2 linked regions of the Schizosaccharomyces pombe genome follow. The protein of the gene in region 1 binds, or shares a complex with, the protein of each later gene. Each region holds a gene or a part of one and is shown on either strand. Other genes may lie near its edges.

Evidence for each region.
Region 2: tif223 (region 1) and tif222 share a complex: the UniProt entries of both Schizosaccharomyces pombe proteins name them as parts of the translation initiation factor 2B (eIF2B) complex.

Annotation. Positions count from the first base shown.
Region 1 is NC_003424.3:5,365,360-5,370,038, reverse strand, and holds tif223 (translation initiation factor eIF2B gamma subunit tif223), read right to left. Parts: upstream 2,635-4,679; 5' UTR 2,492-2,634; coding exon 2,343-2,491; exon of another isoform or gene 2,274-2,342; intron 2,219-2,273; coding exon 1,948-2,218; exon of another isoform or gene 1,825-1,947; intron 1,822-1,824; coding exon 1,380-1,821; exon of another isoform or gene 1,339-1,379; coding exon 1,196-1,338; intron 1,125-1,195; coding exon 753-1,124; 3' UTR 661-752; downstream 1-660. Other genes in the region: amidophosphoribosyltransferase Ade4, read left to right, coding at 4,078-4,679. UniProt on the Schizosaccharomyces pombe protein: Acts as a component of the translation initiation factor 2B (eIF2B) complex, which catalyzes the exchange of GDP for GTP on the eukaryotic initiation factor 2 (eIF2) complex gamma subunit.
Region 2 is NC_003424.3:1,671,403-1,675,694, reverse strand, and holds tif222 (translation initiation factor eIF2B beta subunit), read left to right. Parts: upstream 1-2,018; 5' UTR 2,019-2,039; coding exon 2,040-2,253; intron 2,254-2,305; coding exon 2,306-2,696; exon of another isoform or gene 2,697-2,714; intron 2,715-2,742; coding exon 2,743-3,319; 3' UTR 3,320-3,498; downstream 3,499-4,292. Other genes in the region: tit1 (tRNA isopentenyltransferase), read right to left, coding at 444-1,748; glutamyl-tRNA amidotransferase beta subunit Gta2, read right to left, coding at 3,624-4,292. UniProt on the Schizosaccharomyces pombe protein: Acts as a component of the translation initiation factor 2B (eIF2B) complex, which catalyzes the exchange of GDP for GTP on the eukaryotic initiation factor 2 (eIF2) complex gamma subunit.

The sequences.
Region 1 (4,679 bases):
TTGGCGTTTTCACTTACCAGTGTGAGATATGTAATGTAGCTGTTTCTAATAACACCCAGTTTTAGGTAAGTAAAATTAATATGTTATTTGGATATTTTTGTATGATGACTATAATTTGCGATTGAGCGATGGTATTGCTCGGGATCTTGCCTGATTCCCATATGGGCTCCATCAGTATGCGACAAATAATCTTCTGATTGATTTCCATTACATCAACTGCTTTTGTTAATACGAATACCTTGCTAACTGTTTTAAGTTTTAAATATTATAATAATGGAGTTAAAGAACGTCCTGTTTTTTATGAACGTTAGGTAAGGCAATTTAATTTTCAAAACAAATAACCGTTCTGCTTTGCAATTGATGAAATATTTGCTTATGATCAATAAATGATTCTTTTATTATCACCAAGATCGCTGAGTGCTAAAGTTTTTGGTTATTTTATTTGTTTTAAATATTTTCGAGTTATTACTAACCCATAGCGATATGAACTTTTTTAGATGTATATGTGTATAACCTTGTATATATGTATAACTTTTTTGCATATATATGTACATGCGTTTTCATCTGTAATTTATTCCCCTTCGCTTTTAGCTAATATTGATCTATGAGTATATATTTTTAATCTAAAAATTCCTGACTAATATCACCTTTACCTTGATTAGTTTAGACACACTTTGTAGAGTAAGTGCACGAAATTTTTATTATATCTATTTCAAAAAAAAGGTTGGCTGACAACGGTTTGATACACAGTATTAGTCCATGTCCGTCTCAATTTTTTCCATATCAACCAGCCGCTCACCCCGAGCGATACGGCCAGCTTCAACGCGATGATCAACGCCAATTTCGCATTCACGAAGTTTTGACTTAGCGCCTATTTGAGCACCTGAGGCGACTATGCAAGATTCTAAACGTACTCCGTCTTCAACAACAATGTTGTCCATCAAAATAGAGTTGCTGACCACTACCCCTTTTCCAATTACACAATTTTTACCGATAATGCTCTTTTTAATGTTGCTGTTATCCTTAATGGTGGTACCTTCATTCACCATACAATCGGCACCGACCAGTGCTCTTTCGGACACGGTGACATCTACAAGGCGTTGTTCTGGAGTAAGTTTGGCGATCTAGTTTGCTGTTAGAGATATTGGATGAAACTGCTAAAAAGCGAGATGAAGCTCAGCTTTCGAAAACATACGCATTTATTAAGTTCGAAATAGTTAGGTAAATTATTAGCCCTAGAACAAATAATCCCATCTTTGGCAATTAAAGCATTAATTTTAATTTCCTGTGAGGATAATCCCCCATCATAATTATCAATATTGTTAGGAGATGACAAAACTTTAATTGTTAGAAAATAGTTAATTAAAAAAAGCACTTACATCTTTGAATGTTCTCTCGTACAGTAAAGGATTTCTGATATTGACATTTAACAAGATACGGGATGAGATCTCCACGAATGCTAGAAATAGATTCTTTCTCCCGGATCAAATCAATAACCCAGTGTTTAAATACAAATATATGGGCATCCGAAAGGTTTGTATTTAACGTAACCCTTGGGTGTTTCCACAACAAAGACATTCTAAATGTAAAATCACTGCCCACGTCTGCGGAACTTTTGGCATACAATAGTCTGCTCGTCTTCTCTTCAATTCCAATCAGTTGTTTTGCATCAATCTCTTTAGATTGACTTGTAATATGCTCATATTTTAACACTGGACTATATACAGCCAGTGCTGAAGGGTTATCAAGGCGAAACTTATCCAAACCGTATATGGGAGGGAGACCAACTATACTATCACAACTGAGACACACAAAGTCATTCTGGTGGGTATCGGTTAGCATTTTTTGTGACTTTAAGACGAGTAATTAAATTGCAGAATGAGAGAGAAAAGATCAAAAAGTCTAAGAACACATGCATATCTACTTATACATAAAAATAAATCATACCTTTATAAGATGGGATACAGCACGAAGAGCATCGGCAGAGCTTTTAGAATCATCTAAAATAGTCGGTGCTTCCACGTGAATACGCATATGTCCCTCGTAGCCAGATCGTAACCAAGCATTGATATGGGCTTCCGCTTCTTCCATGCAAATAAGAATAGCAGAAGTAAATCCAGCAGCTTCAAGCCAATATAATGGGTAGTGAAGCATCGGTTTATTGCCGATAGGTAATAAAGCCTTGGGAAGTGCATCGCTTCCAGTCAAAGGATATAAACTAAAACATGGTTAGTATTTTCTTATTGTTATTTTATCTTTTTTAAGTGTTGATGAAGATAATATGTGCGAAGTCATCATTATCCAAATCGTTAAGTAGTCAGTACTACACTTGTTTGTTTTACCTATTGCCAAATCCTGCAAAAACAACAGCTTGAAATTCAATCGGAATAGACTGTAATTGAATATTCCCCCGATTTCGTCCACCAGAAATAGGTCCAAGGATTGAAGGGCTACTGGCTAAAGGAAGTGCAGCATGCTCATACAACGACATTGTGAGATGTTGTTCTTCAAGGCGTTGGATGCTTTTACAAAAGGTTTTTACCTAAAAGGATGCTTTGAAGCCAAAATCTTTTATAACCTGATAGAAGACGAATTATTGGGTTTTTTTGCAGTACGCCAATATTTGATGAAGATGGAAAACCTTACTTTCCTAGATCCCTACTAACGAGCCAAAAGTTTACACGTTACACATCACTATCTGAAATAAAAATGTGCTGAATTTATATTTGTGTTTAGAAAAATGTATTCATGAAATATGAACTATTGATGATTTTTTTTTAAAATGATTTACCAACTCAAAATGTGGAGCTGCTTGAAAACTAATTATTGCTTTGCACTTGTAATTTTGTTTAATGTGCAATATTAAAAAAGATGTTTTAATAATCAACGATTTATAAATCGGTACGTTTTCGCGATCCTGGTTTATAATCAATCCGATAGTAAAAAATATCAATCAAGCGCTCAGAAAATGATCCTCTGTACACCAATTAAGGAACAAATATTTGAAGCCGGTTAGTAAACTATTATTTTGAGGAATCAGAAGATTAGAGATACAGTACATTGTGTATTGTTTTCATTAGTTTTTTAAGTTTAAAAACCATTGGACTACTGCAATCGTAACAAGTTGAACTAAAAGTTTTGGATTAGATTACCCATAGCTCTCATCTCGGTGATTAATGTATTGTTGTTAACTACCGAGTAAAGAAGGAAGAAAAACCAGAACATTGAAAGATTTTATAACAAATAAATAGTAATGGGATACCTCCGGTAAAGCTCAATAATAAGTTGATGTGTATGCGGCATTACTGTAACACTGCACCACTCTTAACTTCATCGAATTTTTTTTGATATAAGAAGGTTTTATTTAAAGATATATTTTTAAGCTTAAAAAATTTTTTTTGGCAACAAAAATAGCAAACAATTTAATATCATCTACCCTGTCAGCTAAGTAGCAAGCTATACCTGTTACCTATATTAACGTGCGCATATCCCACCTCTCTTTAAGCTTCTATTTAGCGAATCGTTCATCACAATCTTGAGCAGTCATAGTTTCGACTCATACTTCACTATCATTTAAGGCGGACAATAAATTAATTTATACGGCAGCAAAATTTTGCCTTAACAATATACCCAACTACGGTGTTTGTTCAGCGCGTACCTGAAAATCTTTTTTTTTTTGTTTCGTACGCGTTTTAAAAAGTAAGTTAATATAGATATTGATTTTCCAACGCCGCAGTACTTGCCTATGATGATTACCGTTTATTTAGATGCTAGACTTCTGAATTTCATCTTATGTAGCTACAAGGTTTTCTGAGGTCTGCTTAATTGATTAAAATTTTTTATTTTCTGTGATGGTAACATACAACTCATTTTACGGTCGGTACAAAAAAATTGAAATTATATTCCAAGTATTCTCAAACTTTGATTGCTGTCCGAATAGAACAGTCCGACTCATATTATTTTAATCAAGTTATAGCAATTTGACTGGGTGCTGTTTTTTCTTTTGTACATTTAAACCTATCATTTTATTATCTTTTGTATTCAATTCACAACCGAAGCTCTAACAAGTTTTAGAAAATGTGCGGAATTTTGGCGTTAATGCTTGCTGACCCTCATCAACAGGCATGTCCTGAAATTTATGAGGGTCTTTACAGTTTGCAGCATCGGGGTCAAGATGCCGCCGGTATTGTAACCGCTGGAAACAAAGGTCGTCTTTACCAATGCAAGGGATCCGGCATGGTTGCCGATGTTTTTAGTCAGCATCAACTTCGCCAACTCGTAGGTAGTATGGGTATTGGTCATTTGCGCTATCCTACTGCTGGAAGTTGTGCTCACTCTGAAGCACAACCCTTTTATGTTAACTCTCCTTATGGTCTTGTGTTGGGCCATAATGGTAATTTAATTAATGGACCCGAATTACGACGCTTTTTGGACACTGAGGCCCATCGTCATGTAAACACTGGATCTGATTCTGAGCTTTTGCTTAACATCTTTGCTTACGAGCTTCAACGGTTGGATAAATTTCGTATAAACGAAAATGATATTTTCGAAGCTTTGCGTAATGTATACGATCGCGTTAATGGTGGTTATGCATGTGTTGCTATGATCGCAGGCTTGGGTGTTTTGGGATTCCGTGATCCCAATGGCATTCGTCCTTTAGTGATCGGTGAACGTGATAC
Region 2 (4,292 bases), 3.7 Mb from region 1:
TTACGCCTTAAACCCTTTTTAACATGGTATTTGTCGACCGGCACTAAAATGCTGCGTAATGCTTCACTAATCGATCTTGGTATGTACAATCCTAAACGTAGCTTAATTCTAGTGTTAAATTGTTTATAACTTAGTCACAGAGAAACTGAAAATTCACGAGCATTACCCTTGTAGTATTAATCTAAAGAAGTAAAATCTTTGCTATGGAATCCTCTGTCGTCTCTCCATTCTTGAAGGTTTCAAGCATGATTATTCAGACTAGTTCGTAGCATGCGTATATAATAATAAATTTCACTATTAGCTTACAAGTTAACGCTCTAAATCTGGATAAATAAACACTGTGCATCCATCTTGAATACTTCAATAATGACCATTCTCCATAGCTTTTTATGACTTATATTATGAACATGACCAAAAATATAATAATAAATACAATATGGACTTCATTTTAAAATTCCAATGTTTTTTAAACGAATTTGACGCTCAGCTCTTTCTTTTTTACGTCGCACCGTGGTTTTATGCTTCCTACTTTTAATATGGACATTGAACGCATCTTCTCCTATTACAGTGAATGGATCACCCCGCTTGTCTAAACATTCCTCGCAAACGAACTTCTTTTTCTGAGATTGGCGACCGTTCATTATGGAGAGATAATCTCTGGCTTTTTCGAAAGCGTGCTGATCATCAGCAGATGGAGCAATGGCATCGCCATTATAAAAAAAATATTGAAATACTCTACAAGCCTTTTCAACTTGCTCTTCCCAATTGTTCAAGTCCGTAGTGTTTGTGGTGGAAAATAGAATTGAAGAAGGGGATAAATCTTGTTGAGCCAAACACATCGGGAGGAATCGACTTTGGATCCATTTCTTCTGAGATTTTGCATACTGTCTAGTAGAAACCTTCATTCGTTCTAAACAATCATTAAAGACTATATCCGAAGGCGCTTCAAACCATGGCATGAATTCTTTAAATCCAATACATTGCCAAATCCCACGGGTGAAATCAGGAGAAAATTTTTCACTTTCAGCAAGACTCTTCATGCTTTTTATTTCATCAACCAATCCATGGCTTAGCATTTTGTCAACACGTTTATCAAGTCGCGGCATTAAGACTAAAGAATCTGCGAACGCCCAAAATATTAGAGATTTGTATCGAAGTTTAGAGCCACTTGACTTCATTTTTTGCTCAGAATAAATTTCAGATGGCGGTCGACCGGTGTGAAAATATATCTCTAGGCTTCTTCGAATTTTACGAGTATCCCGAGGATGCCATTGCTCAGCCATCACGGGATCTATCTTTTTTAAATACGAAAGCATAGCAGATGGATCATCATCCAAGATATGAGAGTCCGGATGGGGTGGCTTACTAGGTGATGAATCGTTCGTCAATTTATCAATAGCCGACAAAGTAGTATCTTCAAACAAAAGGGACTGCAAATAATAATGAGTCCCTCCAACCACAATAGGTATCTTTCCTTGACTGTGAATCTCGTCAATTACGCGGGAGGCATCTCGTTCAAACTCGGGAACACTGTATTCTTTGTCAAAGTTCAAGAAGGACATCAAGCGATGATGAACATTCTCTTGCTCTTCCACAGTAATTTTATTGGTTATAGTATCAAATCCCCGATAAATTTGCATCGAGTCAGCATTAATGACTTGGCTTCCAAACCGTTTCGCCAGCTGAACTGCTAAATCCGACTTACCAGCTCCTGTAGTACCGATGACAACGCAAAGGGGCTTTAACATTTTATAAGATATAGATTTTTACCTTATCTTCAATAGATTACACACCGAATCAAGCTTAGACTAACAAATCCATTTCCCAAATTTTCCCAAGCAAGCCTGGCTCTTTACCAACTGATTTTACCTTACATTTTGTTTTGGTTCACTATCCCCGTTCCTTTATTGCGGCGTCAACTTCGGTATATGCTTTAACGATGTTTTAATTACTGTAAACAAGTTATTACATTTTTACAGCGTTCGTATTTGTTCGTTATTAACATGTAAACACTACTTGTCGTTTCCCATCGCCTGAAAATGTCAACTATTAATGTTGAACATACCTATCCGGCTGTAAGTAGCTTGATAGCAGACTTAAAGTCAAGAAAGGTACAAGGCCCCTTTGCAGTTGCCGTTGAAACGGCGCTGGTAATGAGACAAGTGATTTCTCAAACTCGCTGGTCAACAGTTGATCAATTAATTGATACAGTCCGTGCTGTTGGATCTACTCTTGTCAAGGCTCAACCTACTGGTATGTATTTTGAATCATATTCTTTTATTGTGTTACATGCTAAACCGTGAAGAATTTTCTTGTGGAAATATTATTAGAAGAATTTTACGCTTAATCCGCGAAGAATATCAAGAATTATTAAAGACTGCTGATGAAAATGAGAAGTTAATCGTTTCTTCATCGAACTCTTCTAGCCCTTCTCAAAAAAGAGACATTCCCTCTAACGAAAAATTGGTTCAAAGTCACGAACCTGTTTCAGTTCAGATGTACTCTTCTATGCTTAATTTATTAGGTCGTCCTACTCTTGAGTCTCCCACACATAGTAAAACCGTCGGTGACAGTAGGGTCACCGGTGGCATGGATATGCGCGCTGTGATCATATCTGGCATCCAAGATGTAATCGATGAGTTGGACAAGATTAATACTGATATTGAAGTTCAATCAATGGACCATTTGCATTCAAAGTATGGTGTCATGCTAAACATCTTATCAGTTAGCTAACCTTTTTAGTGAAATTATTTTAACTCAGGGTTGCTCAAAAACTGTTGAAGCTTTTCTCCGTTTTGCCGCAAAGAAACGCAAATTTTCAGTGATTGTTGCAGAAGGATTTCCCAATAACCAAAAAGGTTCTCATGCCATGGCAAAGCGATTAGCTCAGGCTGGTATTGATACAACTGTTATATCTGATGCTACGATTTTTGCAATCATGTCACGCGTGAATAAAGTTATACTTGGTACGCATGCAATCTTGGGTAACGGAGGATTGGTAACCTATAGTGGAGCCCAATTAGTTGCTCAGGCTGCCAGGCACCATGCTACTCCCGTAGTGGTGTGTTCGGGTATTTATAAGCTTAGCCCTGTTTACCCTTATGACTTAGAATCCATTATCCAACTGTCTTCACCTGATAAAATTATGTCCTTTAATGAAGGTGATCTAATAAGCCGCGCTGAAATTTTAAACCCTTACTATGATTACATCCCACCAGACCTAGTAGATCTGTTTATTACCAATTTGGGTGGCTATCCTCCTTCCTACCTTTATCGTATTATGAATGATACTTATGATGCAAGCGATACAATTCTTTAAAGAGTTTGCATTCTATTTTCTCTTGGAAAATTGATTACCTATTAAATCAAGTTTATCAAATTTCTTTACACGTGTTTAGGTAAATATTAAAATTTTGGAATAAATAACATGGGTTACATTAGATTGAATTTTTTTAACTGTGGGTTTCTGTTGCAAGTAATACAGGCAATTAACTCAGCAAAATAAAACTTTGAAATTAAAGTAAATGGACTATGAATTTTAACGAGTTTCCTTTCATTGTCTAATGATTTGAAATATGCAGTAATTAAAAAAACTAGGGCCACTAATATACAAACCAATTTGATTACTTTTCCCTTCGTAAACTGCTTTGCACTTCCATCTCAATGTCTTTGGGACTTGCTTGTCCTCGAAGCTCTCTCATCGTAAGGCCAACAAACCACTTTATAAGGGAAGTTTTACCATTTTTCAACTCTTCAAATTGTTTTGAATGTTTACTAAGAACACTTTCTACACAAGCTTTTATTTTCTCGGAATCGCCAATGGTACCAAAATTTTTTTCTTGGATGAGAGTAGATATAGGTTTCGATGAAGGTGATTTTATCAATGAACGAAGGAAGAGTTTAGCAGATGCAGCTGTAAGTTTCTTCTTGGAAACAAGAAGTACAATGTCAGCCAATTGCAAAGGAGGAACGATATTGATGTTAGGGGAAGGGTCAATTTCACGAACTTTTCCTACTAGTTCCACAGTGATCCAGTATGGAAGGGTACGTAAAGCATCCTCTTTCAAAGATTGATTTACATGGCTTATAGAATCGATATGGTGGTACGCATTTCTGTAGTAGTGATAGTATTCCTTCACACTTAATAATGTACGGGCCTCTTTATGACTAATGGCATGAGAACCCGTTGTAAGCTTTTGGAAAAGTTCGTCAGGCAGAGCAGGTAATGATTTTAAGACAGAATTCACATAACTCCGAGAAAGTATGATTGGGGGGATATCGGTTTCAGGAAG